Elephas maximus indicus: one gene and its partners. The protein of the gene in region 3 interacts with the protein of the main gene of each other region in a pairwise test. Links are inferred from orthologs where the notes say so. Each region holds a gene or a part of one and is shown on either strand. Other genes may lie near its edges.

Region 1 (7,433 bases), on a different chromosome or scaffold from region 3:
CGGGTCTTACCCCTTTGGGAGCAAGAAAGAATGCAGAAAGCTAAAGACATAAGGGAAAGATTGGTCCAAAGGACTGATGGACCACATCTACCATGGCCTCCACCAGACTGAGTCCAGTACAACTAGATGGTGCCCGGCTACCACCAATGACTGCTCTGTCTCTGACAGAGCTGGAGATAAATGTAGAACAAAAATTTAACTCAAAAAGAAAGGCCAGAATTTCTGGCCTGACAGAGACTGGAGAAACCCTGAGAGTATGGCCCCCGGACACCCTTTCAGCTCAGTGATGAGGCCACTACTGAGGTTCACCCTTCAGCCAAAGATTAAACAGGCCCATGGAACATAACAAGACTAAAGGGGAGCAATAGCCCTGGGCAGGGACTGGAAGGTAGCAGGGAACAGGTAAGCTAGTAATAGGAAACCCAGGGTTGAGAAGGGAGAGTGTTGACATGTCGTGGGGTTGTTAACCAATGTCATACAACAATGTGTGTACCGTTTAATGAGAAACTAGTTCGTTCTGTAAACCTTCACCTAACGTTCAATTAAAAAAATTATAAAGAAAAGAGGATTGGGTGATATGGAAATGTGGAGAGAAGGAATGCATTCTATTTATTTTTACCACTCGAGTTTTCAGAAATATGTTTTTGGGATTATCGTTTCCAGAATTTTAATAGATGCAGTATAGATAGAAAGGGTGTGGGGGGAGGAAGGCATACAGAGGCAGAGAGAGTTTACACAGAACCAGTGAGAGTATAGACAGGGAGACAGAGTGTAGACAGGGAGAGTGTAGACAGGACAAGAAGAGTGTAGACAGGGCAGAGAGGGTGTAGACAGGGCAGGGAGAGTGTAGACAGGGCAGAGAGTATAGACAGAGCAGGGAGAGTGTAGACGGGGCAGGGAGAGTGTAGACAGGGCAGGGAGAGTGTAGACAGGGCAGAGAGAGTGTAGATAGGGGCAGAGAGAATGTAGACAGGCCAGAGCTAGTGTAGACAGGGCAGAGAGAGTGTAGACAGCACCAATGAGAGCGCGGACAGGGCAGAGAGTGTAGACAGGTGTAAAAATGGCATGGTGGGGGCTTCTGACTTCCTCTAACTTCACGAAGGGGAGAGAGAATCACCATCAGCAGCATCAGCCCAAGGCTGATTCCTGTGAAGCAGAGGTCAGATATGCCTCCTCTCTCCAACCTTTTTACCTAATTCTGACACCAGCCGTACCTCCCGTGGCACTCTCTCCTTCTCTGCTGGGTTCAATAATTCGTTGCAATGGCCTCACAGAACTCAAAGACAATACTCAGGATTACGGGGTTTATTAGAGAAGTAACAGATTACAATTCAGGGTCAGGAAAGACTCAGGATACCATTCGTGGGTCAGGACAGCCTCTTCTCAGCTGTGCTCAAAGGCAGGCCTCTTTCTGGCCCTTGGCCCCTCGTCCCCTTGGGCCTCTTGGGCCTCTTGGACCTACCCTCCTTGGGCAAGAGATACAAAGTTCTTTAGCTCTGCCAATAAGTGCCTAGAGGCACCCCATTCCACCAGCAAGCCCGCTGCCCTGCTGTCCAAAGGCACTCAGCTCTCTCACTCCATGAGCCAGGAAGCCCACTGTGCCATCTCCTGTCTATCTCCTGCTGTCTCTGTTGTTGCTGTTTCTCTACCGCTGCTTCTCGTCATCTCTAGTGTTATAGTTCTCTGTCTCCTGGGTCTAAGAGGTTCATCAGTGCAAGGACTCTGGGTCCAAAGGAGGTGCTCTGTTCCTGTCTCTTCCTCTTGGTGGTAGTCAAGTCTCCCCGTCCGTCTCTGAGATGGCTCATTTTAAGCCTAGCAGGATGAGAAAACTGATCAATCCCCCTCAATAGGATTCCATACATCTTATTTGCATGGTCCTATCCCCACAAGAGTGCCATGCACCTTACTTGCATTACCAAGCTATCCAAACATCTTGGTGGGACACAAACATCTCATTTTCATAGTTTCACCCAATCTTTTGGTGGGAGTTTCAAGATCATGGCTAGAAAGCCAAAAAGCCCACTGCCATCGAGCCAATTCCAACTCATAGCAACCCTATAGGACAGAGTAGAACTGCCCCGTAGAGTTTCCAGGGACAGCCTGGTGGATTTGAACTGCTGACCTCTTGGTTAACAGCTGTAGCACTTAACCGCTACGCCACCAGGGTTTCCATCATGGCTAGAAAGGTCAAATAATATTGTGATCCATCGCACCACAACAGGGCAGAGAGAGTGTATAGACAGGGCAGACAGTGTGGACATGATCAACGAGAGGGTAGACAGGCCAGAGAGAGTGTAGACAGGGCAGAGGGAGTGTAGACAGGACCAACAAGAATGTAGACAGGGGCAGAGTGCATGTGGACAGGGCAGGGAGAGTACAGACAGGGCAGAGAGAGTGTAGACAGGACCAACAAGAGTGTAGACACGACCAGCAAGGGTATAGACAGGGCAAGGAGAGTGTAGACAGGGCAGACGGAGTGTAGACAGGACCAAGAAGAGTGTAGACAGGGGCAGAGTGCCTGTAGACAGGGCAGGGAGAGTGGAGACAGGGCAAAGAGAGTGTAGACAGGGCAGGGAGAGTGTAGACATGATCAACGAGAGGGTAGACAGGCCAGAGGGAGTGTAGACATGACCAACAAGAATGTAGACAGGGGCAGAGTGCATGTAGATAGGGCAGGGAGAGTGTAGACAGGGCAAAGAGAGTGTAGACTGGGCAGGAGAGTATAGACGGCAAAGAGGGTGTGGGGCAGGTACAGAGAGAGTGTAGATGGAGCAGAGAGTGTAGACAGGGCAGAGATTGTAGACAGGGCAGAGAGAGTGTGGATGGGGCAGAGAGAATGTAGACAGCGGCAGAGTGTAGACAAGGCACAGAGAGGCGCACAAGGGCAGAGAGAGCTCGACGGATGTCGGGCATTTCTCCGAAGAGCAGAGCCCCCTACTGTTAGAAGGTGGAGATCTCAGCCTTAGAAGGTCCTGACACACCCCACTCAGGGTCTCAGCCTTCTGGATCCTCCCTCCGTCTCCCTATTTTCAGCCCCAATTTCGGTTTCAGGAGTCTTGGTGGCGCAGTGGTTAAGTGCTGGGCTGCTAACCAGAAAGATCGGCAATTCGAATTCACCAGCCCACCGAGGGATAAAGATGTGGCAGTCAGCTCCGTAAAAATTACAGCCTTGGAAACCCTACGGGGCAGTTCTACACTGTCCTATAGGGTCACTATGAGTCGGAATCGGGTTATTTCCGACTTCTGTCATGCTACAGTCTGTTCTGTGATGGAGTCCTTCCCTGCCCCGCCCCCTGACGACCCATCCCTGCATCTTGGCGTGGAAGCGCGTTGTCCTTTCTGCTGAATGCCTTTCTGCCGTCAGTGCCTGTCTCTACATGTCCTTCCCCAGCCTGAGCGGCTCTCTCCCCTCACATCCCTGTTAAGAGTCCTAGTCCCACCATTCATATAGTCATTCATTCACTTATAAGCTGTTAGGCAGCGCTGGGGACCCCAGGGAGCTCTGACCTAGGCCCTGCAGCCCCCTCTGAGAGGAGCTATCAGTTTGGGGTGGGTAGGCGTTGAGTAATAACACGGTGTGATCGGTGCTTTGATGAGGGACCGTAAGGCACTGTGAGCCTCGGAGAAGACACTTCACCCGGCCTAGACTAGGGCAAGGGACGGCCTTGAGTCTTCTGTGTGACCCCAAGTCCCGAGCTCAGACGGGATGCGGTCCCATCTCTTCCCCCTCTGCAATTAGGGATTTCTTGGTAACGCCCCTTCTCAGACCCACCCAGTTAGTCTCTCCCTAATTTGATTTCGCCCCTAACCCGTGTCGGCCTAGGCCCCGCCCCCTTAGCCCCGCCTCCATTTCATTCACCCAGTTCTCAAGCCCCGCCTCCCAGGAGACAAACCTCACACCAATCTCACGACACCATTGGTCAGAAGGTGTCACTTCAGCTCCCTCCTTCAATGTCATTGGCTGACTGGATGTCAATCTTTATAGAGCCCCAGCAGTTGCCAGGGCCGAAGTTTGAGATACAGATAATAATGGACGTCTCGTTATTGGGCAGAAAGCCCGGATCTGGGCGGGGCTTAGTGCCAAATGCTTGGCTTCTTCTAGCCGGGGTTCCTCAGAGCCTCAGCCTTGCCTCAGAGACACACCCCTCTTTCCCCGCTATTGGTCCTGTCAGGTGTTGCTCAACAGTATTCCTCATTTCCATAGGCAAAGCCACCTGTCCGTCATTGTTTCCCTAATTTCAATTCGTTTCTCTCCTAAGAGGCGTCAAACTTCTGACCGTAGCCGGGGCCCTCCTCACGGAATGGCCACGAATTGGCCAGGCCCCCCGTCACTCCTGATGATGGGCGGAGCCAAGGGGCCTGGGTGTGGCGGATTGGCTGACCGGGCTCCGGGGGCGGGGCAGCGGCTCCTGTCAGCGGGTATAATGGCAGCGGCGGAGCCGGCGGCGGCCGCGGTCCCGGGGGGCGGCTGAGGGGGCCGGGCCCGGGCTGCGGGGCGAGCGGCGCGGCGGGGATCCGGCGGCTCGGCCCGGGACGGCGAGGCTCCGCACGGCGATGGCGGCGTGCTCGGCGCAGGTAAGGCGGCGTGGGCCGGGCCTCCCGGACGCCTTCTCAGGCCGGCGGCTCTGCGCTGCGGCCCGCAGGGGCCGGGCAAAACCGCGACTCGGGCCGCCCCACCCGGCCCTCCTGAGAGCCCGCGCTGGGAGTCCCGCACCCTCGTCCTCGGGCCCTGACCCCCGCCCACCCTCGTTCCCCATCGCTCCGCACCCTTTTCGAATCCCTCGGGACCACCCACCTCCCACTACGCCCCCCTTCCTGTGAAGGTCTTTCAGGCCCATGACCCCCACCCACCCTCCCCCCTGACCCTCAGGACCCTTCCCCAGACCCTTCAAGCCTCCCCCTACCCCCACCCGGAGACCCGCCCACCCCCAAAAGGGCCCCGCTCTGCCCAGGACCCCCACACACCCTCTGTCCAGATCCCTCAAGACACCCCTGCAGAACCCTTGCCACACCATCCTCCCCTCACTGTACCATCCTCTGACCTGGACCAGACCTGCCCCCACCCCCAAGGAGGTGGCCTCAGGGTCTGCTCCCACCCTTCTGATCCCACAGGACCCCTCTCTAGTCTCTGGAAATCAGGAGTCCTGCCACAGGCCTCTCCTCAGCCTTTTGGCCCACCTCCTACTCCCAGCAACGGGAGGCTCAAGGGCACCCCCCAAATCCTCCTTCCATATCCTCCCAGCACACTCCAGTAACGTCACACACACCCCTGATCCTGACCCATCTTCCTAAAAACCTACCTTCACCTCATGCTCAGGACCACCCAACAGTCATTCAGGAACCACTCACCCACCCACCCACCCACATACACACACACACACATATCTGGGAGCCTCCAGTTCTACACAGAGAGATAGCCTTGAGCCCCAACTACTTATACTGACAGATACCCAGACCCCCAACACAGAGACACCAGGAGATGCCAACACGCATTCCAGAGTCCCACAGACACTTGGATCCTCCAGCATATACAAGAAACCCAGAATGTTCCACATAGATCCCCCACCGTACACAGACACACCACGCACACGCACACAGAGGACGACCCTCAGCACTTACACTGCCCTGGGTCCCACCTGACCAGACCCTCCCAGACCTCCCAACAGGTCACAGTTCAAGCAGAGATTCAGAGACTGTAGGGGACTGGCCTGCTCCAGGTAACCAGCCTACCCAGCCACACCAGCCTCCCTGGACCAGACGCTGCACTGGTGCCCTGGAGGGTGGCAGGGACCCAGAATCTCCTAGTGCCCCGTGGGCACCAGCCCCTTTATCCATCTCAGCCTGATTTGCCTTCTTCAAAGGGAAGGAGACTCACTCCTCCTCCTACACCAAAGTGTCCCAAAAGGAACCACTGCCCGCCCCCTAATTTATGCCACCCTCTGTGGGGAGCTCAGACAGTGCCTGGCCCCAGTCCTGAAGTCTGACCAGACTGGTAGGACCAGCATCCTGACCCCATCACGCCTGCTGGCCTCAGCCTGCAGTGCCCGCGCCATGGTCGGGGCTGCTTCTTGCACTGACTCCTGTCGGCCCACTGGGTTCTTTCACCCACGATGGGTGTGCTTTGCCAAAATGAAACGGCTGCCTTCTATCCTGGCGTTTAGGACCTGTGGGCTGGGTTTGGCCTGCCAGAAGCAGGCATCTCTTTGTTAAGGAATATTTCCAGAAGGGAAAAATGTGCTGAAGAGGCTCGGGTGGAGCGTGAGTGTGGAGACTGCTCGGTGTTGTCCCTGGGCCGGGCTGTGACTGAGCTCAAGGACCTGTTATGCAGCCCCCCTCCCACTCATCCTTCCACCCCATGGTTCTCACCCTCTGGTCTGACCCGTGGATTCCCCTGGGCCTCTGTGGTCAACTGCGGGTGGTTTGGAAGGAATTGCAGATGGCTTGGCCCTGGCACACGGATGTAGCGAGACAGGAGAGGAGCAGCCAGGCCATTTGAGATGGTGTGCCTGCAACTACAGGGCTTAAGGAGGAGCCCCAGTTCCCATGAGTTGGACCCAAGATCAGCCCAGCCCGATAACCACTTGTCTGGGGCCCTTCCCATGACCCAGAAAGCCCCAGATTAACAGGCCTGGGCTTTCTTGTGGATAGTCACCAGTGTATCCTAGGTAGCCCTGGACAAATCTCATCTTGGCTCAGTGCCTCAACTTCCCCACCTGGAAAATGAAACAGAAATCTTTGGCACAGTACTTTGACCCACTGAGGTTAGGATATGGCACTGAATGTTCTCTGGGCATTTTGTGGAAGGGAACAGTGGCCTCTGCCCGTGTAGTCACCTGTCTGTAGATTCTAACAGAGCCACTGGCCGCCTCAGCCCCCCGGTTATTATAGGATGATGCCTTACTGGATACTAGCCGCCACCTTGAAGTGGCACTGGTGGGATGAGGGGGAGAGATGGTCTGTTGTGGGACATGTGGCCTCACAGGGACCCCTGGGGGACTGAGGGGTAGGGGGCTGCTTGCTATCCATGCAGACACCCCACATAGACCCCTGACACCAAGTGAGGAGAGGTTTGTTCTGTGCACTTACTGAAGGTCATGTGGCACCCAGGAAGCAAACCTCACAGCCTCCCCAGGGTGGGACTCTGTGAGGACAGAGCCATGAGCTGTTTAGGAAAACACAAGAAGGCTCCTGAGTGAGCTGTAAACTATATCAGCATGGTCTTATGCTAGACTAGGGGCCCAGACCTACTATTTGTGTGCATTGGCAGGTGCAGGCATACAAGGGAGAGCAAGGACATCCATTCCTCACACAGGACACAAATGTGGGAAGCCCTGCCATGTACCAGGACTTGAGTCAGACAGGGGCTGGGCTTGGAGACATGTCAGATATGGTCCCTGCCCTGCATCTAAAGACTGTCTCCATATCACGAGTCG
Region 2 (7,565 bases), on a different chromosome or scaffold from region 3:
GAAATGTTTTCTGACCTTCTCCCCATCCCAATCCCAGCCCCCCTTTTGTTCTCCATCATATAGCATCCTGTACTTTTCCTGCATAGTGCTTATCAAAATTGTAATAAAATAATTATTTGAAGTCCATCTTCCCAAGCCATCAGCAGACTCCATGAAGGTAGAAACTCATGTCCATAGTGTTCAGTGTTAGGCATATGGTAGTGTTGCAGGGTAGAAACATCACAAAGTTTGGTAAAGCAAAAAGAAAGGTTTTATTTGGTATATGTTCAAAGAGGCAGAAGTAGGAAAATGGACAAGCATGCTGCTAGAGCCATGTCTGCTGGAGTCCAAGGAACATTACACAATCCTCAGTATATATTAATGTTACAAATGGGTAAAATCATTGAAAACTTTACATTTTCACAGATTGGCTAGAAACTGTGATCCTACATTTTGCATTGTCTTTCTTAACAATCATTGGTACAGGTTTCAGTAATGACAGTCAGGAGGGTCCTCATTGGTCCAACACATTTTCTATTCACTGATGATAATAGAAAAAGATAAAAGTGGAAAGTCTTTGGTGTTCTGTTTGATTTATGTGAAAGGTTCCCTAAAAGATATTTCCTAAGATTATTTTAGCTATTGTGTTTATACCTCAGAGCCCAGTTGATGTGTCCTTGTGAGTCCAGCTGCAGCTGGGTCACATTCTCTATGTTAAAGGACAGGGAATAATGACTCCAATATCATTTCTTAAATCAGTAGGAGTCAATGAATATTTTTGAATAGATGTAGGTGCTCCCAAGTCTTTCATGGATGCCCTGTGTCTCGAGTTGGACTACATATTTTCTAGTTACATGTTTTCTAATTGATTGCCTCCTTCATAATGTCTGTACTGGGCTCTTTTTGCAGTGAGTGCTGACCTGGTGGTGTTGGAGAAAGGAAGATGAGCAAGAGAGGGGACCTCGAGCTGGCTAATTGAAACTAAGATGGAAAACTTCCTGGGAGAAAGATTTTTGGGCAGCGGGAGGCTGCTTCTAGGCCCTGGGCCAGGGCGTTGAGTAATGCTTGTATTTCTCTGAGAGCTTCTTTCAAGAAGCAGAAAAACTGATGAGTGACCTATGAATGCTGTTCACATTCTGGGTGACTCAGAGTTTATGGGATTCTGGGGAAAACAGTGTTGATCAGAGTGGTGGAACAGCCATGTGGGTGTCTGGACAGGAAGTTAGGTGAGAGGCCATCTAGGCCACAGTAGTGTGGCCTTCCTTGCCAAGTAGTGCTCAGGTCCTTCAACTAATGTCAAGAAAGAGAGCCCGAGCAAACCCCTTGTGGCTCCTTATTGCCTCCTCAGGCCCCAGAGCTCGGTTAGAAGGTTGTTTCACAAGTTGGCATGACTTGTCTTACCCATAAAAGTTATGAGGCCAAATATCCTGTCCTTTTGCATTTAAAAAAAAAAAATTAATTTTTGGTTACAAAAGCAATACATGGATACATTTATCCTCTACCACATTACAAATATAACTAATCAGACTTTACTCTGATTTCACCAGTTTTTCCATTAATGTCTTTTTCTGTTCCAGGGTGCCATCCAGGATACCACATTGCATTTGGTCTACTCCAACCTGTGACAGTTGCTCAGTCTTTCCGTGTCTTTTATGACCTTGACACTTTTGAAAAGTACAGGTCAGGTATTTTGTAGAATAGCTCTCCATTTGGGTTTGTCTTATGTTTTCTCACGATTAGGCTGAACTATGCATTTTGAGGAAGAATTTTTTTAATGTCAATACTGTACATATCATCCTGCAGCTGGCTGTTTTCATTCAGCAATATGATTTTGAGATATATCTATGTCAAAACGTATAGATCACTCATTTTAACTTCTATATAGAGGTCCATCATATGTGTATTCTACACTTTATTTAGCATTCCCCTATTGTTGGGCATTTAGGCCGATTCCAGATTTTTCTTATTACAAGCAATACTGTAGTGATTATCTTTGTATATATCTCCATATGCACATGGAGTTATGGAAGATACCTAGAAGTAGAATTCCTAAAACATAGATTTAATAGATGTTGTCCAATTGCCCTCTGAAGTGGCTGTGCCAATTTATATTCCTTGACATTATGAAGCTTAACAGTTATGTTGCCAAGCTGAGTTTTAATTTGCATTTCCCCCATTTACTAGTGAGGCTGGGCATCTTTTTGTACGTTGATTGGCAGTTTGTATTTCCTTTTCTGTGACCTGTCTCTTTACAATCTTTGCTCATTTTTCTAGTGGATTATTTGTCTTTTTCTTATTGATTTGTTAAGAGCTCTTTATGTATTCTAGCGACAAATCCTTTGCATTATATTGTATATTGCAAATATTTTTCTCCTACTCTGTTATGTACCCTTTGTTTCCCAATTTAAGTTATTCCATCTCTCTGATTTATTTTTTGAAACAGAGTTCTTGATTTTAAAAGTAATACAAATGATGTAGAAAATTTGGGAAATTTATAGACAAGTATAGAGAAGAAACCACCTAAATCTTATCACTGACAGAAAATCATGATTAACATGCTTAATTACATACTTCCTTCTAGTCCTTTGTGTGTGTGTGCGCGTGCATGTGCATGCATGAGTGTGTGCAGGTATGCACACATTTTTCCTGCACAATCGAGATTACATTGCATATATGTATGCTTTATTCACTCACCACCATGGTCTTTATATACAAACCCTGGCTTTTTTCCCAAATACGCTTGGTTCAAAGGTGGGGTAAATAAAACTTTAGGCTAACTTCCAACTTCTAGTCCTTTTTTCCACATACCCTGATAAATCTAGTAGGTGAGAGGCTCAAGGCCTATCCTCAGCTGATCTGAACTGAAATTGGCTCAAAAACACAAGAGGGGGTAGTAATGCTGGAGCAGGGCACTTACTAAAAAGACTTGGAGGTTTTAGTTGACCATAAGCTCAGTATAAGTCAGTAGTGCAGTGCCAGGAACTTTATTGTAAGAATGAAAGACAATAAGTTCTTTTACAAGGCAGTGACAGTCCTGCTATGCTTTGGTGGGACCATAAACATTTAGTTCTGTCATGGAAGACATATTCTAAAGGAGTCACAATCAAGCCCACTAGGTACAGAGAAGACAAGGAGGAGGGCCCACAAAACTCACTGCCATCAAGTCGATTCCGACTGATAGTGACCCTGTGGAACAGAGAGTCGAACTGTCCCATGGGGCTTCCAAGGGAGTACTCTTTACAGAAGCAGACTGCCACATCTTTTTCCCCTGCAGAGCAGCTGATAGATTCAAACACCAATGGTATTGTTAGCAGCTGAGCTCTTAACCACTGTGTCACAGGGCTCCTTAGGAGGAGGGCAAAGACCCTCAACACTAGGACAGAGGAGGAACAACGGAAGAAATGGGAAATACTGATCTCAAATAAGAGAAAACCTTGGGCAGACAGGGTAGAAGTCTTCAAATATCTGAAAAGCAGAAGGTTGAAAATAGGTTAGACTTGTTTGTTCTCTGACGCTCGAAGGGGTAGAACCTAGGGCAGGAAGTGGAAGCTTCAGAAATATTTTCTAACTGGTCAGATCTGCTCTGACAAAGAAAGGCAATGCTCTGGAAACAACAGTCTTTCTGTTATCGAGGAGTCTTCATGCAGACTGAGTTAGTGGTGATGGTGGATTGATAAAATAAAACAAACCAACCAGTTGCCCTCCAGTTGATTCCAACATCTGCCAATCCCATGTGTAAAGAGTAGAACTGCTCCCTAGGGTTTTCAAGGCTTCGACCTTTCAGAAGCAGATGGCCAGGCCTATTCTACTGAAGGGCCAACTGGGTTGGTTTGGGCCAGCTACCTCTTCCTTTAATACAAAAAAAAAAAAAAAATCCAAACCCATTGTTCAGTCCATTCCGACTACTAGCGACCCTTATAGTCAAGTGTTTAACTGATTACTATGCGCTAGGATTGTGCTAAGAGCCTTACCTATGTTACTTCATCCTGTCAACGCCCTCTGATGTAGGTTCTCTCGTTATCTGTCCGGTATCTTATAGATAAGGGAGCTGGGGGTAGTGAGATCAGGTAACTCTTCCAGAGTCAGCTTATAAGTGGTAAAGCTGGGATTCCACACAGCCAGGCAAACTCCAAAGCTGGTGTTTTTTAATCACTAAGGAGATTCAAGCGTGGTACGGGGTCTGGACCAGGAGGGACTTGAGGTCCGTTGGTTTCGAAGACTTAGTGACCGGGAAAAGGATGCTCCCTCCCCCTAAGGGAAAGCGTCCAAGAATCATCCGAGACGCTGTGGAGAGGTAGCCCAGAGCCCTACGAAAGGACCTGGGGAGAATGCCAAGGATGGAGGCCTAAACGACTTGGAAGGGTTGTCAATGTACGTCACCGCACAGCTGGGCAACAAGCGACGTTCTGTTGTTTGAAGATTCCCAGGCCCATGTGAGGAGCCCAGGCGCCAGCCGTGTCGTCCCGCCCCTTTTGCAGCGCGGCAAGGGAGCGTCGCCGCGGCCGGATTCTGCGGCGGAGCAGGGGAACGGAACAGCGAGCCGGTCCCCGGCTGGGCGCGAGCTGGGGGCGGTGCCCGGGCAGCGGGGGCGGGGAGGGCGCGCGCCGAGGCGGCTGCGGCAGTTGCGCGTTGGGATTGCAGCCGTTCGGTGGGGCCGGTGAGTGCGGCGCGACCCACGGGCGGGAGGGGAGGGCGTGGGTCAGCCAGCGAGGGAGGGAGGGTGCGCGGCCGAGCGCGCGACCCCAGCTTGTAGCCGCCGCTTGCCCCCGCCCCCCGCCCCCGGCCCCGGGCCCCCGGCCCCGGGCCCTCGGCCCTCTTCTCAGCCCGATCCCCTGCCTGAGCGCCCGCGGACGGGGCGCCCGCGTCTCCGCACCGCACGGCCCCCACTCCTGTGCCGCCCCCGGCCCCGCGCAGCCCCTTCCTCCGTGTCGTGGCGACGCCCCCGGCCACGTCACGCCCGCGCCATTGTCTCCCTGAGGTCGGCTCGTTCGGACCCGGCCTTGGCGTTCGGAGCGCCGCCCTTCACCGGCTTAGAACCGACACCACTGCTCGGTTCCGCCCGCCCGTTTTCTTACCCGCTAGGCAGCCCCATCCTACTCGCCCACAGACACTCCTTCACTCAGTTCTGCTTATCTTTTCCGGCTGCCTCCGGGCTTCCTCCCCTCCGCGCTCGAGGCCACCTTTCCGTTCCTCTTACCGGGCCTGGGCGCGGCCACCCCCTTCCCACCCCCTGCGCTTTCCTGTGATTCGGGGAAACCCGAGGTCCCTTGTGGTAGGATGCGAGGTTGACAGTAGTTTAGGACGAACCACAAGAAACTGCCAACTTGTTAGCCCACATGCCCGTTTCCAGCACTTCCTGGAGAGCTCTCATCGAATTGCAAGCCACCCCCAAAAACATGATTCTTATTTCCAGATGGCTTCCAAGTCAGAGGTTCAGCTGTCCGTTGGCCCTCTTTTCCTTTCCTTTTCCTGGGGGACCCCTGAAGTCGGGGAGAGCCAAGAGTGAGATGCAGTAGGCCACAGCTTTTAAAAGCAGTAGTTAGATTTTGATGTCCAGTTTATCGCTTTCCCATACTTTCAGCTTTAGAGCCTTTATGTGTGAGAGTTTGTACTGTAAAGTACAGTGCTCTGAAATGGCTAGTCACCATTATGTTTGTGTGTGCGTGCACTCGGATGCACAGGTTCTTCATGACTGAACCAGCTTTATAATGTCAATGGACTGACAGTGCCTTTTGCCTCTTAGGGCAACGGGTGCAAACTCTGCGAAGTGTAAAGTGAAAGGCAGAATATCTAAGTAATGCTCTTTACCACGGAGACTTAAATGGGGAAGGCTTTATGTCTTAAATATTTGCCACCACCCTTTGAACAGCGGTTAGAATTTATCCAGATGAAGATGTCCAGGACTGGAGAAGTTAAGTTCAATTAGACACAGCTGCTTAGTAATTAAAATCTGAATTCCACGTGCTGGGCTGATGCTAGCACACACACACTTTTATTTCTGACACGTCATTCCACTGCAATATAAGCCATTACATCATAGCAGGGTAGATTGTGGTATTACTCTCCTCAGCCCAGAATTTAAAATTTAGAATTCAGTAACCAACTAATGTGTAAAATGAGGAAATGTTTAAGGTTTCATTTAACTTTAAAATTGGACGATTCCATAGTATGAAAATTTCCAATCACCTACAAGTTTCCAAAGGTTTAGAATTGTAGGAAGATTTATGGTAAGCCTTACTATTGATATCCAGTTGCATCTTCCTAAAAACAAATTAGAGTGTCACGTTAATGGAGGGACACACCTCTAGTCTATTTCTACTATTTTATGAGGAAAGGAACACACAAAATTTTTTTAAATGTGTTTTGATTGCTCGATTAGCTTAATTCAATGAAAGCTTAATTCAAAAAGCTTAATTGAATGAAATAGTAAAACAAACCAAAAAAAACCCAACTTTATTACATGCTTTTCATAAGACTGGAAACCTTGGTGGCGTAGTGGTTAAGAGCTAACCAAAAGGCTGGCAGTTCGAATCCACCAGGCACTCCTTGGAAACTGTATGGGGCAGTTTTACTCTGTCCTATTGGATCACTATGAGTCGGAATCAACTGGATGGCAGCGGGTTTGGTTTTTTGGTCTATAAGACTATGCTCTTTTCCAATTCTTATATAAACATGGTTTTTATCTACTTATAATCACTGTGTACAACATTACTTTGAATTTTGCACTTACCTACATTTGTGGGACACGCACATATCTAGAGAGTTTATTGCTTTTCATTTGTAGAGGCCCCGTTGTTGTTCCTTGCATTCAAGTTGATTCTGACTCATGGCGACCCCATGTGTAGAAGTGCTCAGTAGGGTATTCAATGAAGGCTGTGACCTTTCAGGAGCAGACTACCAGGCCTGTATTCTGAGGTATCTGTAGTGCATAACTGTTTGCACCACCCATTTCTTTATGCCCAGTAGTCAACGATGCCTGCGACACAGACTCTCAGTAAATTTTTATTGGACAGATGTAATATTTTGAACTGTTTAGACAACATCTGCTAACACAAATGTTAAATATCTCAAGGCATATGTTAAGTGACACGTGAGCAGTAAAGACAGAACTTTGAGCCAGGAGGCAGCCGTGTAACCTGGAAGAACTTAACTAACCTTAGAGAACCTACTCAGTTTTTCCTGCCTTGAAAAATAAATTTCACAGGGTTGTGTGGATTAAATGGGATTAATTCCACTGAAGGAAATTGTTCTTTATAAATGTTAGCTCTTACTTTTTTTTTTTTGGTTACAGTGGTGACGTAGTGGTTAAGTGCCACGCCTGCTAACCAAAAGGTCGGCAGTTCAAATCCACCAGGTGCTCCTTGGAAACTCTATGGGGCAGTTTTACTCTGTCCTTTAGGTCACTGTGAGTCGGAATCCACTCAATGGCAGTGGGTTTGGTTTTTGTTTTTTTTTAATGGAGAGAGATTACTGAAGGTTGGTTGGAATCAGCTGACACTTGAGAATAAGGAAAGCATGCTAAAGTGCGTATATTGAGGGTATAATGAAGATTGCTGTCTCTAAAACAAAGGGTTTGGTAGAGAAGT
Region 3 (7,833 bases):
CCCCCACCCATGCCCTGAGCTCTGTTCACACCACCCTCATCCTCCCTGGGCCCTGGGCAACCCTTTGCACTGCAGGCATTGCTGGGCAAGGGGCCCTTGAAATCTGCCCTCTCACTGGAGAGCTGTGAAGTGTGGGGAAGGGATGGGACCAGGGGACTGCCCGGGCTTGGCTGGAGGGAGTGATTGGGGCGATGCCACCCTGCCTGTGCTCCTCCCTCCCTCCGTCCTCTCTCCTTTGAGATTTCCATTAAAGTCTGTTGTTCTGTGAACGCTGCCAGTGTGGTTGGCACTGCTCATGCAGGCCACGTGGTCTGGGGAGGGAGAGGAGACATGGAAATTTGCTCAGGAGCAGGGGCAAATGGAGTGGGTGGGTGGGAACCTGGGGCCGGGGTAACAGGGACCGGCAGCACCTCTGCCTGCTCTTTTCCTGGGGGCCCAGGTCCCTGGCTCTCACTGAGAAGATAAAGCCTTCTATGTGGCTGCCCCCCAAAGATGGCTCCTGACAGACACAGCATTGAGGCAGAGCCCTGGGGCAGAACAGCACTGCTTCCCTGGGCAGCAATGGCCCGCAGAGACCCTGGATCTGCAACCCTCTCTGCAAACCCCAGGCCCCAGCCACCCACCTCTCCTGTCTGACCTGAGGTAGAGATCCATGCATGTGGCCCAGAGGAGCCCTTGCCCAGCGGGTCAGCCCTGAGTGCCTCAGACAGCTGACTGCCCCCCACTTCCCTCTGGTGTGACTCTGCCCCTCCACCCCTCTGCTTGTATATCTCAGCCCCATACATGCGCCAAGTATTGTTATACCTGATTGTTTCTGTGGTGGTTAGGGGAATTTTTTTATTAAATAATTTTTTTTTAAACGTTAATATACTTTAAGAAAAATTACAAAATAAGAAAAAGCCACCTGTAAACCCATCCCTACCTGCTCTAGGCTGAACCACTATTAGTATTTTGGTATGTTTCCTTTTGGTATTTTCCACAAGGTTTTGTACTTGGTTTCTGTCTTTTAACATTGTATTATAGACATTGTCCAAGTTGCTACCAAACCTTCATTGAAATGTCCCATTATATCCCATTAAGTGGTTTTGCCATGATTTATGTAACCATCCCCCCCTCTTTTTTTTAATTTAGATTTCTTCATTGTTCAGAAAGCTAGGTTATTTTTTTCATGGGATAAAAAAATAGAGAAGTCCTACACTTTACCAGGTACTGCACTGTGTTCATTTAAATTATTTCATATAATCTCTTACCAACATTTTGAGGTAGATGTTATTTCCATTTTACAGATGAGGACATGGGCAGATTAGGGTTAAGACAGTCACCCAAGGTCACACAGCTATTTGAGTGGCAGAACTGGGATTTGAACCAAGTTTTCTGACTCAAGCCATCTCGTTTACATTATAGTCTGAGCTCTTAATGGAGTTTAAAGATGGGTTTGCCCTCTTCTCTGTCCTCCTCCTTCCAACATTAAGCACTTTATGTCTGATCATGTTCCAAGTAGCCCTGAATGACCCATTCCCACTTACATTTCACTGTGTATAGCCGTGTCCTGATGTCACCCCAGAACCCAAAGTACAGGGTCCCTGCTGTGGAAAGATGGTGCTCTGAACTTTTGCCATTAAGGAGTCACTGGGCCTCTCTTCCCCACACAGACCTCCCCCAATCTGCATCACACCCCTACCCCATCATGGTGACCCATCCCAGAGGTCATATGTGGTCTGACTGCTTATAAACAGCAGGTGGATCAGTGTTCATTTGTTCCAGGGCTGGCCCGGTCCAGGTGGGCACGGACCCTGAGACTGGGCCTATGGGCACTCGATAGCACTGTATCTCATATAGGCTCGGCGGCTGCTTGACCCCAGTCTAGACCTGCCCTTTGGGCCTCTGCTTCTCACAGGCCTGTCCCAGCATCCCCATTGTCAATCTTCTGTTGTTTCCAGCCCCTCTCACTGGCCAGATTTCACATGTACAGCCCTCAGAGCTGGACATGAGCTCAGAGCGTGTATATCCCCTCGCATCCAATACCTTCTTTTTCTTATAAATTGTTTAGACTTTTTATTTTGAAATAATTTTAGATTTACAGAAGAGCTGCAAGATATGATAGAAAGTTTCCAATTACCCTTCACCCAGCTTCCCCTAATGTTAACATCTTATAAGACACCATGGTACATTTATCAAAAAAAAAAATTTTTTTTTTTTTTTAAGAAATCAACATTGATACAACTTTGTTAACAAAGCAACAGACTCTACTGGGATTTCACCAGCTTTTCACTAATGTCCTTTTTCTGATCCAGGATCCAACAATGCCTTCTTTTCACAGATGGCCTAGAGAATAGATGTGGTTCCTCTAAGGTCACTCAACAAGCTAGTGGCAGAGCCCAGCCTGAGCCAGACTTCTTTCGTAAGAGGGCCTGGAAGCTTGGGCTATGGCCCTCCTCACCTTTCATGCTTTGTTAAGAGACAAGAAGATTTGCTACTCTGTACATGCCTTTAGTGTCACAGATACTCTTGCCCCACCCTTGTCCCTGATGCTCCCTACTACAGGCCTTTCCGCACACGTGTTCACACGCACACACGTGTATGCACCTTGAAATGGCTGGCCCAGGCTTCTCTCCCATAGGTGTTGGGAGCATGGCACTGTACCAGTCAGGCTGTTCCTGTTCGCTCCACTGGTATTGCTTGAGTGGCACCCACACCAGCCAGTTTTCTTCCCTGTCTGGGAATGGAGGACACAGACCTAACTTGACAGAGATCTTTCTTGGTTCCTGGTTTTAGAGGACCACCCTCACTGGCTGGGTCTCTTTCAGCACCTAGCTGCCTCAGCCTCCGTGTCTTTCTATCTCAGCCCCTCTCCCTCCTCAGCTTTTCCCTCTTTCTGTCTCAGGGTCTCTTGAATATGCTCCCTTCCTCTCAATGCCTTGAGAAGAGTCTTTGTTGTCTCCTTTAGCATTGGGAAAGGGCTGAACAGTCCCTCCCATGTGTGCAGCCCTTCACAGTTTACAAGGGACTTTTGCACATTCCATTGCCTCATGTGATCTTCGCCACAGCGGTGATTAGGCCCACTTGGGGTAGCAGAGGAAGACTTTCCCTCAGTGATAATGGGGGGAGTGGAGCCGCGGTTTGTTGTAGTCTTCGCTCTTCCAGGCAGTTAGGCTGTCTGGTGTTTATCTTAGGCTGCCTTTGAGGCTCTCAGAGCCTTGCCCAGACATGACCTCACTCCCTCTCAAATCATCCCTGGGAGGCAGAAAGGCGTCTGGGACCAACGCTGTCCCCACTTCACAGATGGGAAAACCAAGGGATAAACACACACACATAGAGCAAATAAGTTAACAAGTTGCTCTGCAGTCCTGGGGTCCTGGCTCTCAGTCTTGTAAGTTCAGTTGTCTGGGAGGTAAGGAAGTCTTGGATATGGCTGAGGGCAGCAGCATTCACCAAGTGTCTCAAAAGTTCACGAGCCCACCGGGGCTGTCCTGCGGCTGAACATAGGGCCCTACCTCCAGGGAACTTGCAGTTAGTGTCAGTATGTATGAGAAGGGCCTAAAGAGGCAAACATAGTGTGGCTGGAGTTCCCGAGAATAAAGTTTAGTGCTATGGTGGCCCTGTAGGCATATTTCATGAGGGGGAGCGCCTTTTTTCATTGCAAGTCCTGTGGCCAGGAGGGCTCAGCCTGGAGGGTTGGGGGGCTGCCGGATGATGGCACCTCCCTCTGCCCAACACTGGACAGTGCACAGAGCAACTCCCACAACATCTCGCCTCACCTCCCAAACAACCCTGTGAAGAGTTTTTATGATTCTATTTATTCTACAGATGAGGAAACGGAGGCCCATAACTTTCCCAAGGGCATAGAGCAAGCCAGGGGCAGTGGCCAGACTTTCTAGCTTCAAGTCCAATGCTTTATCCATCTCACCACAGGCACTCTCTCAAAAGGGAGGGACACAAAGCCAGCAGGAGGGAAAGAGTAAAGGGGAGGCCTAAATGGAGGTGAGGAGCCCAGACTTGGCTTGCTTCATAGTTTCATTCCAGCTGGTCCAGACTTCCTGTCCTTTGAGGAGGTTAAAGGAAGCTCTGAGGAGGAAAGGTCAGCCTGGGAGAGAAGCAGAGCTCACCAAAACAACCCACACCCTGTTCTCAATGTGCCAGGCCCGTGTACTCGTGGAAGGAAACAAAGAGGAAGAAGCGTAACGTCCTACACTGATGAGGCTTGGCCGGCTGATTCCAGGCCCTCTCTCAGCCTATCCCCCAACCCCCCCGCCCGCCGTACCACACCTTGGTCATCCCGGAGGTGACCTCTCCCTTCTCCGAGTGCCTGTCACACCTCCTGCCACATCACTCATTTAGCACTTAGCTTATAACCCTCAGATGCCTTTTTTATATGTATATGTCCATCTCCCCAACTAGAATCTCCAACACGGGGGTTAGGTCTCCCCTGCCATGTGACATTGAAAGAAGAAAGTCATTTGGAAAGTGATCCTCTGGAGTAATGGCATTGCTTGTTTACAACAAAAGTTCCAAAGTGGATCTAAGCCGCGTGCCAAAGCCCCGTGACGTCATCGCGCTCGTTGTCACGTCATCGTCGCTAGCCACTGGGGCGTCTCTGCACCCGGCAGGCAGGATGACGTCACCTTCGGAACCAGTAGAGGCAAGTGCGCACTAAAGGAATGAGCGAGGTCGGCGGCGGGAGAAATCCGGAAAGACAGAGGAGGCTGCAGGAGCAGCCGACGCCCGGCGGGAGGCCGCGCTGCCCGGCGGCTCCCCCTGCGCTCCGGGCTGGCTCCGCCCCCTCTGGACTGGCTCCGCCCCCTCCGGGCCCTGCGCTGGCCAGCCAACCGGGGCCGGCCGCGGTGACGCGCAGCCTATCAGCGGCGAGGGCTCGCCGGCCCTTCCGCGTTCGCGAGCGCGCCCGGGCCGAGGCCGCGGCAGGGGGTGGGGAGAGACCGGCCGGCCACACGCTCGGCTCGCGTCGCACTGCGTCGGGCTGCTCTGCGCGGTCAGCGCCCGCCGCCTCCCACGGGACCCGATGGCCTCTGAAGGCCTGGCGGGGGCGCTGGCGGACGTGCTGGAGGGCGGGGGGCCGCTCGTGCAGAGCTGCGACTCGGTGCCGGCCGAGGAGCTGGTGGCCCCGGTGCGGCTGCGGAAGAACGTCTGCTACGTCGTGCTGGCGGTGTTCCTCAACGAGCAGGTGAGTGGCCGCGGCCGACCGCCAGCCCCACCGCCGGGCCTCTCGAGCACGCAGGCAGCCCAGGTGGAGACAACCGCAGCTCGCTTGTGTGTGGCATTTTCCAGTTTTGCAAAGCACTTTCACTTACACTAGCATTTGAGCCTGGTGCGGTCCAGGACTGCTATCATCCCGATGTACAGAGGAGGAAACTGAGGCCCAGGGGCTCTGGAACTCTTTCCCAGGTTTGTCCCCTAGGCCTCAGAACCTTGAGGGGAGGGCTGTCTTACTCATCTTCCTTTCCCAGGAGTCCAGTACAGTGCTTGGCACGTAGTGGGCTCTCTTGAAGATCGGAGACCTCCCCTGGGCCCCACGAATAGCAATAGCAGAACCCACACTTACACTCAGGCCTTCTGACTCCTGTCTAATGCCCTTTTTGGTACTGATTTTCCTGTACAAGTTGCTGTAATAACAGCTAGAAGGGGCCAGGACCATACATAGGGTTACATAGGGTTGAGGAAGGGCATGATTCAAAATGTAGCCATTAGTGAAAGGACGAGTCATAAGCAGTTAATCAACTATGTGGCGAGTCTAGATACATAGTGACAAATATAGACATGATTCAGCTCAGGACTCATAGTGAGTCTCACTCTGGGGCCACACGCCCAACCCCTGAAGCAACACCCAGGAATCTCAGCCCCTTTCTCAAGAGGAAGTCTTCCTGAATCTAAAACCAAAAAACAAAGCCGTTGCAGTCGAGTCAGAATAGTCACCCTGTAGGAGAGGGTGAAACTGCCCCATAGGGTTTCCAAGGAGCAGCTGGTAGATTTGAACTGCTGACCATGTTGGTTAGCAGCTGAGCTCTTAACCACTGCACCACCAGGGCTCCTTCTGAATCTGAAGAGGGAAGAATTACAGAAGGTACTCCTGAATAGCTCAACCATTTGACGGTGGCCATCAGAAAGGAGGACTCCCTGGGTGCTGCAAATGGCTAACGTGCTCATCTGCTAACCGGAAGGTTGGAGGTTTAAGTCCACCCAGAGGCACCTTGGAGGAAAGGCCTGGTGGTCTTACTTCCAAAAAATCAGCTCTCGAAAACCCTGTGGAGCCCAGTTCTACTCTAATACATAATGCATCACCATGAGTTGGAGTTGATGCGATGGCAGCTGGGTGTCAGGAGGGGCGTGTTAGGCAGAATGAATGTGAGATGTGATCAGGCCCTACAGCAAGGAAGGGCTTGGGGCTATGCTGCTCCTCTGGACTTCTCAGCACTGGAGCCCCCAGACCAGCTGTGGTGGGGGGGTGAGGATCCTCTCTTTCCCTTCAGGATGAGGTGCTACTGATCCAGGAGGCCAAGCGAGAATGCCGTGGGTCCTGGTACCTACCCGCCGGGAGAATGGAGCCGGGAGAGACCATCGTGGAGGCACTGAAGCGCGAAGTGAAGGAGGAGGCCGGACTGCAGTGTGAGCCTCTGACTCTGCTGTCTGTGGAGGAACGGGGCCCCTCCTGGGTCCGCTTTGTGTTCCTCGCTCGCCCCACAGGTACAGTATTGCCTGGTGGCAGGGAGCAATTGACACCTTTTCCCCCAGCTTGTCTTCAGGTGAGACGAGCCGAGCCCCTCCACAGCCAGCCCTCTTGTGGCTGGTACAAGCCTGAGAACTCTGGGCCTCCTCCCTGGGTCGGGGCTAGAGAGCCTGGGGGTCTGTTCTACTCTGCCGGACCAGGCACTTCTCTTTTGCTTATCCTGTCTCCCAAATCCCCTTAGGTGGAATTCTCAAGACTTCTAAGGATGCAGATGCAGAGTCCCTACAGGCTGGCTGGTACCCACGAACCTCCCTGCCTACTCCATTGCGAGCCCACGACATGCTGTACCTGGTAGAGCTAGCTGCCCAATATTGCCAGCAAGCTAGGCACCCTCTAATTTTACCCCAAGAGCTTCCCTGCAGTCTGGTCTGCCAACGGCTCGTGGCCACCTTTACCAGTGTCCAGACTGTGTGGGTGTTGGTGGGCACCGTGGGGATGCCTCACTTGCCCATCACGGCCTGTGGCTTCACCCCCATGGAGCAGAGGGGCGGCATGAAGATGGCCGTCCTGCGGCTGTTACAGGAGTGTCTGACCCTGCACCATTTGGCAGTGGAAACCAAGGGGTTGCTGGGACTGCAGCATCTGGGCAAAGACCACACAGATGGCATCTGTCTGAATGTGCTGGTGACAGTGGCTTTCCGGAACCCAGGTATCCAAAATGAGCCCCCGAAGATTCGGGGTGAGAACTTCTTTTGGTGGAAGGTAGTAGAGAAGGACCTACAAAGCCAGCTCTTACAGAGGCTTCAGGAGTCATCTGTCATCCCAGTCAACAGATAGGAAGGGGCCAGGAGTGGGCAAGAAGCTGCTCTCCTCCACCACGGCTTCATCTCTCCTCTGAGGGAGACAGGAAGCTGGAGACCAGGGATCTTGTTGCATTGGGAGCAGGGGCAGTTTTCTTGATTCTCAGGGGATTCCCATCTCTCCCTGGCTATGGAGCAGGTCCTACATCACACCCACCAAGAAGGACAGTGCCTTTAACCAAGCAAGGAGTCCAGAGCTCGGGGACCTGATTGCCCTGAGGGCAAACTGAAGCTATTTCATAAGGGGATGTGGGAACTGTCTGAACCTGAGATGTCATATAGTCATCATTTCCT
Region 4 (7,895 bases), on a different chromosome or scaffold from region 3:
AACCGAATCCTTGCGGTGGTTCAAGAGAGACAGTTAAATCAAAGGAAAACACTACCCTCAAGAAGTCAGGGTGAGAGTGGCGGCCACTGCCTTTGAAGTCACATACCCATAGGTGTATTTATCCAATGTGCTTTCTGGGGTATTAAAGTTTTATATCAGATAAAACTCTCTTTATAAGGCTATAAAATCTGAGTACCACCTTTTGAAGAGATTAAAGCAGATACTTACTGGAGAAAAGACCAAGCCATTGGTGGTAACCCTTGACCCCTCTCTGCATCCTTGGGCTCAGAAGTTGAAGTTCTGCAGCTTCTTCAAATCCAAGGCTTCCCTCCCCAAGCTAGAATCTAGACTTGTGAGGACTAACCCCTATCCCTCAGTGTAGCTGAGGTAGAATTGTTTAGAAAGCTTCTTATATTATGAAACTAGGGGCAAAAACAAGAAACTATTAAGGTTCAGAAATGTTTTAAAAGTTGTTCTCTTCTCCCAATAAAAGTAAAATCCAGACACAGAAAGACTTGGCTGCTATGGTTTCTGGCTGAATCTTCCCTTTGCCTTTCATTCTAGCTGTGTTCTTAATAAAAACCCCTTTCTGGAGATTCTCCCTCCCTTTGAAGGGTAGGGGGCAGACCCAACCATTTAGATTTAAGGATGAAAAACCAGGCTACCCAGAAGATTTAGAAGGCTGAGGCTTCCTACAAAAATGAAATAAAAGGATGACAGTTATTACAATCACCAAGATGTAAAAACAGCTACCAATCCAATTCGGATTCCAAGGTGAACACTACCACAGTTTCCATTGGTCTGATGCAAAGTTGTCGGTCACTTCAGAACATGGGCTCATTCATATTTAAGTTTGAGAATGACAATATTCTTGAGATCCCACTAGACAACTTCTCAAATAGGAATTCCCATTTCTAAACCAAAAAACTCTGGGATTTCAAAAGCTCTGAGGCACACTAGCCACCACTACAAAACTTCTGAAAAGAACAAAAACCAGAAAGAAGAGGCCACAAAACAAGAGGAAACGTTTTCTCCTCCCTCCCCCACCAAAGGCCCAGGGTGGCTGGAAAGGGAACACATTGTTCTTTCTCTTGCAATGACTTGGGTAACTTTCTGAAGTACAGTGGCAAAGTTTCTATGGGCAACGGTCCATGTTTGCCCAGCTGAAAACATAACTGCTTCTTCCAACAGCCTCATCCTTCTCCCTTGGGGAAAAGAACCTCCTTTGCCTATTCCATCTATAAGACTTGGTCTGTCAAATCACGTCGCTCCCCCATCCCTGCCTGAATGACCAGCAGGAACGATCCTGATCCTTTCTGTTTCCAAGAAAAGCTTTCCACTCTCAGCTTTCCTCCCCAACCCGTTTGTTTCACCTCCAAAATCCAGCCACATTTTCTCTTAAGTCTAGGTGAAGCGTCTCCTGCCCTCTCTGGTGATCAGAAGCGGAGGCCAGCAGCCTAGTCTACTTTAGCAACTGGTGCCTTCACGGTGCCAAGTTTTACGTGGGGGAAAAAATGGGACTCTGAAGCTTTTAGCTGTTTCTGCAGCTGCCACCGGCTCCGGAGTCCTCTCTCTCTGCCCTCTCACTCACCCCAGCCAATGGAGGTCAGTAATATTTCCGGGGGCTCCCTCTATTTTAGCCCTCCTCTTTTTTGATTTCTGTTCACGCTCCTCCTTGATCTCCGGCTCTCGCTGGTCCAGACACCGGATCTTTTTGGGAGAGGGGGACGGAGACGGAGATGCAGACCGAGAGCCCTCGGGTCGGGGGATGCTGGAATACTGAGGCTGGTGGGTTAAGGCCTTAATCTTGAATCGCGATTTCTCTCCGGACTTCACCGAATAGGCGACGAACCCAAAGCAGTTGGAGGGCGACCCCGAGGACCGCGACTCTGTGTCGTCCGCATCGTACTTTGTGGCTTTGCGGCTAGGGGAGCGGCCCCGCTTCCTGCCCCCGGGGGAGTTGGAATCCACTTTTAGACGAGCCCCTACGCCCTGAAATGTCACGAACGTCGGCGCCCCGCCCCCCCGGGTCTGGATCTCAGGGCCTCACCAAGGGGGCCATTCTCCTCTGAGGGCAGAGGCTGGGGGAAGCGGGGCGGCGACAGGAGGGATGAACGGAGGGAGGGGCGGTGCGCGGCTGCCGCCTCGGCCCGGCCTCTCCGTTAGCCGCACCCGCCGGGTAACGCCGCGGTGCCGGGCTCCCCATTGTTCGGTCATAAGTGGAAGGCCCAGAATTTTCCCCGGTCTCCGGGGCGGGAAGCAGCCACGCAAACAAAACACTCATGGTTATTCCCTTCAACGTTGGCGTCTACAAGATAATCAACACCACCACGACCTCCAAAACCCGCCACCACGCGGAGGAAGAGAGCGAGGCGCCCGCGCCTACCAGGAGCCCCGGCGTGCGCTCCCGCAGCGGAACACAGCCTCTCCCTCCACAACCTAAACACCCCGAGCCCAGGGCTCCGCCCAGGCGAGGGGCTCCACGGCTCTGCCCGCCGAGGCCTCCAGGGCCTGCCTGTGGGCCACTGCAGCAGAAGGAAGATCAAAACAACCCCCCCCAACCCTTCTCAAAACCCTGATAAGGGCGCGCCCCACAAACGGCAGCCCAGGTCCGCCCGGAATTACCGACGGCGGAAGCACGCGCGCGTCTTCGACACCCCCGGGGGGCCGAAAGCAGAGGAGGGGGCTGGAGGCAGGGAAGGGGCCAAAGAGAAAAGGCCGCGGGGCCGCGGCGGGGAGGAGGCCGGGGAAAAGGCACGCTTGCTTTCCGCGCCCCGAGGGCAGCCAGGCGCTTACCTGGGCGGCGAGCCGGCTGGAGGGAGAGTAGGCCGCGAGAGCGAGGTGAGGAGAGGAGGCCAGGTAGACAGGTCAGACGCTCGACTCTGCTCCCATCCTCGGCTCTGAAGGGTGGCCCGGAGCCGGACACCCTTTATCGTCGGCCAGGGGCCGCCCCCGGCGCCCTGATTGGCTTCCAGCGGCCGGGAGCCCGGGCTGATCAGCTGATGTGCGCCCGGGCACAGCGGCCATTGGGCGAGGAGCGGTGCGGGCGCGCCGCCGGGTGGGGGAGCGCGAGCCGGGAAAGAAAGAGAAAGGGACGTGGGGGAGGGGGAGGGTTTGGGGAGGAGGGGAGGGTTTGGGGAGGAGGGGAGGGTTTGGGGAGGAGGGGAGGGTTTGGGGAGGAGGGGAGGGTTTGGGGAGGAGGGGAGGGTTTGGGGAGGAGGGGAGGGTTTGGGGAGGAGGGGAGGGTTTGGGGAGGAGGGGAGGGAAGAAGGGCTGGCCGGCTGGCTGCGCGCGGAGGGCGCTGGTTCCCGCCGAGGAAGGACCCTTCCTGCAGCAGGCTTGAGCAAAACAACCCCGGGCCGCCGCGCCCAGCCCAGAGCACCGACCTGGGTCTGGCCCTGCAGCCCCCCAGCCCCGAGTTCCAAGCCTCCTAGAAAACCTCCCCGGGCAGCCGCCGCTGCTGCCTTCGGGTTGAATAGTTTTGTTTTTTTGCAAGGAGAATTTCATCTTTTACGAGGTCATACCGCGGACTCCAGAGGTGGAAATTCTGAACCACGGAAACATATTGGCTTTTGGTGTTAGTGACCAGCCCCCCGCCCCACCGGCCCGCTCGTGGTTGTTTGCGTCGGAGTGCGGGGCTCGAGAAGGCTCCAGAGGGGGTTGCTGATGGGAGGCCCGGGATTCCAGCGTCCACGAAGAGCCCTCTCCCCAGTTCTCTCAGGGGTTTTGGGGAAGTGGACAGAACTCTGCTATTTCACATGTTTAATCATCTTGCGGTGTTTATATAATTCCATTGAGAAGATTTCGGCGGGCGGTAGAAACAGTCAGGAGACCTGTCTGAGAAGGTCTCTGTCAGTCCTTAATCGAGTTACTCAGCCTCCTTGGGCCCGTTTCTTCATATGCAAAACAAAGCAGTTTGAAGGGACCTTTAGGGCTGCTGGCCAGATTTGAAATTGTGCTTTTATGCAAACTGTTCCCCAAGAGCAGATGAAAGTGAGGTGTTCTCATGGCCCCGCGGTAGCCCAGGGTTCCTCAAAAGTTTAGAATTCCTTAAATTCTCCCTGTTTTTGCTTTGCAAGTAACTTAGGCCTTCTTTTAAATCTATAAAATGGGAATAATTGGCTTTTGCTCCTCTCAGCCTTGCGGTGATGGTTGAGAAAACATGTGAGTGCAGCCTTGAAAATGGATGCTTGTCAACAGATGCACAGTAATCCTATTTTTAAAATACTGTTCTTGCTACCAGTCCTGTTACTTGGCCGTTCTATTTTTATTGCCCAAAGTCTACCTGATGATTAAAAAATAATAATAAAAACCAAACCCGTTGCCGTCAAGTCGATTGCAACTCATAGTGACCCTATAGGACAGAGTAGACATGCCCCATAGAGCTTCCAAGGAGTGCCTGGCAGATCTGAACTGCTGACCCTTGGGCTAGTAGCCATAGCACTTAACCACCAGGCCACCAGGGTTTCTAACCTTTATTGCATCTTTTGCGAGCTCAGTCAGAATCGACTGGATGGCACTGGGTTTGGTTTTTTGGTTTGTTGCAAGCTCCAGCCTTTAAGACTTTGCAATTTTTCTGTTTGAAGGCCAAGAGTCCGTGCTCCCAGTACCTTCGGGAGAGGAAGGAAAGAAGTTTCTTCTGGTTATTTTTTGTACCACAAATATGGAAAAGAAATATTGCCTGTAACCACACACATAACTTGGCTTCTTTGATCAACATCTCTTTCCTTTAAAAGTGTGTCTAACACTGTAATGCTTTTCACTGATAAATACAGCATTCATATCAAACAGGGGCTTTTGGAATGTTTCAAACTGATGGCATTCTGGACACAGTAAAAAAAACACAGTAAGGCACCTCACAAATCTAAGGGATTCCAAATTAAGTTTAAGTGTTGCATGTTGAAGCATTATAACGTGGTAGTTCAAGGCTGGGCTTTGGGTCAGACAAACCTAGATTCAAATCTGGGCTTTAGTTCTTACTAGCTTTGTGTTGACTGAGTTACTTAGCCACACTAAACCTCAGTTTCCTTGCCTATAAAATTATTATTGTGGAGCCCCTGGGTGGTGCAAACAGTTAATGTGCTCCATTGCTAACCCAAAGGTTGGAGGTTCCTCCACACGGAGGTGTCTTGGAAGAAAGGCCTGGCAATCTACTTCCAAAAAATCCGCCATTGAAGACCCTGTGGAGCACAGTTCTACTCTGACACACATGGGATTGCCATGAATCAGAGTTGACTCAATGGGAACCGGTTTTTTACTTTATCGTGAAGATTAATTGTGATAACACATGTAAAAGAGATTAGGATAGTACCTGGGACGTAGTAAATATTTACGAAAATATTCTTAATTATTATTGGCCAAGATAATTTGAAAAGATTGGATTGTTTCCTTCCATATACCAGCCGTTCACTGAGACCCATTAAATGCAACTTTCTAACTCAGTGAAATATACCACCATTAGTTTTATGAAAGTGGGCTCACACCTGGGAACAGAGTGAGCTATCTTCATTCCATTTCTTTCTGTGAAGTCTTGAGTTTAAATGGTTGGATGGAGGGGGAGGTGATGTTTTTATTTACAAAGATACCAAACTGCCAAGCCATAAACCACCGACTTCCACAGCACTCCTTACCACCAGCCACTGCACTGGAAGGCCGTGGTTTATGGCAAGCATTAATGGAAGGTGGAATATGAAGAAGCAAATGCAGTTTTTTTTAGTTTATAGTGTCGCGTTTTATGATGCAAGTGCCTACTTTCCTTGCTAAGTATTTTAACCTCCTGGAGTAGCTTATTCATCTTTTTCTCCCCCAACAGTGTCCAGTAAGTGATGTTTGTTGACTACACAGAAGTGACAGCGGCACCATCAAGAGAACCAGTGCTTTGAGCTGCTTTTCCAAGAATGGAAATGGATTTGCTTTGATCCGTTCATGTGACAAGGGGCGTGCTTTGTGAGGGATAGGAACATAATACCCGACCACTGACTCTTTCCGGAGTGAACCAGAGGACTTGTCCTCCTTGGTCAGCCCCACACTTTCTTAAGCCCATCGAATTAGGGCCCCAGTGAGTCCAAGGAGTGACCAGGGAAGCCTAAGAATGCATGAGAAGAAGTCCTTTAACCGACCGGTTTGCCTCCAGAGACCCAGACTGTACATTTAGAGAAGTTAAAAGTGGAACAGCCTGTTTCATCCAGTTTGACTTTGCTGTGTCTGCTGCCCTTTGTTCTCACTCCCTTTCTTCCCTAAATTGCCACCCACCCCCACTTTCCACCCCTCCATAAAAAGAGCCTTAGAATGCTTGAACTCATGAACCTTTCTATCTCTTGGTATGTACAGTTTCAAAGCTGGTGGGGTTCTAATGCGTGCACTTTGAAGTCATGTTTTTCTGTCTTAGAGAAGAGTAGCTGTGTCCACAGGGTGGGTGGAGTGGGAGACCAGCACTGCAGGTAAAACTTTTGCTCCAAATCTGCAGAAATGTTTGGAGATGGAAAACATTTCTGCAGTGTTGTTCTGCTGCCTGAAATAAAGGCCTTCTCTTGGGTGGGCTTTACCTGTGAGTTGTCCTCTCAGCGTCTTTCTCTAGGTCTTTAAAGGACCTAGACTCACTCTCAAGGAGTCCCTGGGTGGTGTAAACAGTTAAGCATTCGACTACTAGCAAAAATGTTGGCAGTTCGAACCCACCCAGAGGCGCCTCAGAAGACAAGCCTGGTGATCTACTTCGGAAAGGTCACAGCCTTGAAAATCCTATGGAGCAGTTCTACTCTGCAAACGGGTCACCACGAGTCAGAATCGACGCAAAGGCAACTAACGACAATGACATTCTCATTCACAGGTCTGAACCCTATAACCTGGTGACAAGACAGTGCTTTCCTAGAGCCTGTGCGGGTGCCTTACACTCACAAGATATGAGTAGGGCTCAAGCCAACCCAAACCTTTGGCCATAGTGTGCAGTTTGGAGATAGGAAGTTTTCTCTATATTTGGATGATTTCGATGAATGTTCAAGCAAAGCCTTAAATTGGGCTAAAGAGACACGGCTAAGAATCAGGACTGAGGAACATCCTGGAAACCCAGCCCAGAATTATAAACTAGTCTGTTTTTGAATAAACCAACACCAATTCTTTCCAAAAGGATAGATTACGGTAAAATCTTAAAGCAAAAACAAAAGAGAGAAAAAGACAACTCTAGCAGTTGATAGCATTACTCTTAGACCATATTTTATGGAGAAGCTGCAGGTGGCCAAGTTTCCAGATTTATTCTGCACAATAAAAGAAGAAAAGACCAGGTCATACTTCAATTCAGTACCTAACTGTAGGCTCAGAGAATTTATTTTTTATATCCTTTCTGATTATTTGATGAAAGGAGAGGAAGCTAGAAGTTTAAGCCTCAGCCATTTCTCTGCGGCCCAATGTAAGGTTTGTTGAACACTTGTTGAAATCATTGAAATACAGGGAAAACTCCATTTCCCAAAACTCGTGTTATGACTGAAGGTTTCGCTCTGTTCGACGCCTACCCCAAATCTTGTCTCTAATGGGAAACCACTTTGAGAGTTGGGGAGAATGAAGTTCACTTAGCTAAGAACATGGGGAAATAAGTCCTATTGAGAAAATTAAAGCCATGCAATACTAGAATCAGATCTTCAAACCATCCTGTCTTAAAGACTGGGAAACTGAGGCCTAGAAAACTTGTAGTGACTTACTTAAATCATGTCAGGGCGGTATTTCAGAGCCTAATGTGCTTCTAAGTTAGAATCTTTAAGAGCCCTTTTCTGATCCTCTTTCTCCAGTCTCCTCAGACTGTAGGTGCTATGTTCCTGGGCTACCACCTCTAAAATCCTGAAATCCGTTTCTACCCACTGAGGAAGATAAACTGCAGGGACTTCTCTATCCTACATTGGGCTTAC

Evidence for each region.
Region 1: the proteins of NUDT18 (region 3) and EVI5L interact in binary tests that used the Homo sapiens proteins (3 or more experiments, as listed by UniProt). The two-hybrid records come from large-scale screens. The link is inferred for Elephas maximus indicus from reciprocal best matches to the Homo sapiens genes NUDT18 and EVI5L.
Region 2: the proteins of NUDT18 (region 3) and NT5C2 interact in binary tests that used the Homo sapiens proteins (3 or more experiments, as listed by UniProt). The two-hybrid records come from large-scale screens. The link is inferred for Elephas maximus indicus from reciprocal best matches to the Homo sapiens genes NUDT18 and NT5C2.
Region 4: the proteins of NUDT18 (region 3) and GLUL interact in a two-hybrid assay, tested with the Homo sapiens proteins (2 studies listed by BioGRID and IntAct). The two-hybrid records come from large-scale screens. The link is inferred for Elephas maximus indicus from reciprocal best matches to the Homo sapiens genes NUDT18 and GLUL.

What each region holds. Positions count from the first base shown.
Region 1 is NC_064821.1:12,570,088-12,577,520, forward strand, and holds the start of EVI5L (EVI5-like protein), read left to right. Parts: upstream 1-4,429; 5' UTR 4,430-4,575; intron 4,576-7,433. UniProt on the Homo sapiens protein: Functions as a GTPase-activating protein (GAP) with a broad specificity.
Region 2 is NC_064834.1:54,711,402-54,718,966, reverse strand, and holds the start of NT5C2 (cytosolic purine 5'-nucleotidase), read left to right. Parts: upstream 1-4,554; 5' UTR 4,555-4,636; intron 4,637-7,565. UniProt on the Homo sapiens protein: Broad specificity cytosolic 5'-nucleotidase that catalyzes the dephosphorylation of 6-hydroxypurine nucleoside 5'-monophosphates.
Region 3 is NC_064840.1:52,592,481-52,600,313, forward strand, and holds the start of NUDT18 (8-oxo-dGDP phosphatase NUDT18), read left to right. Parts: upstream 1-4,828; 5' UTR 4,829-5,017; coding exon 5,018-5,179; intron 5,180-6,482; coding exon 6,483-6,696; intron 6,697-6,920; coding exon 6,921-7,516; 3' UTR 7,517-7,833. UniProt on the Homo sapiens protein: Mediates the hydrolysis of oxidized nucleoside diphosphate derivatives. Hydrolyzes 8-oxo-7,8-dihydroguanine (8-oxo-Gua)-containing deoxyribo- and ribonucleoside diphosphates to the monophosphates. Hydrolyzes 8-oxo-dGDP and 8-oxo-GDP with the same efficiencies.
Region 4 is NC_064842.1:45,558,968-45,566,862, forward strand, and holds the start of GLUL (glutamine synthetase), read right to left. Parts: upstream 3,003-7,895; 5' UTR 2,797-3,002; intron 1-2,796. UniProt on the Homo sapiens protein: Glutamine synthetase that catalyzes the ATP-dependent conversion of glutamate and ammonia to glutamine.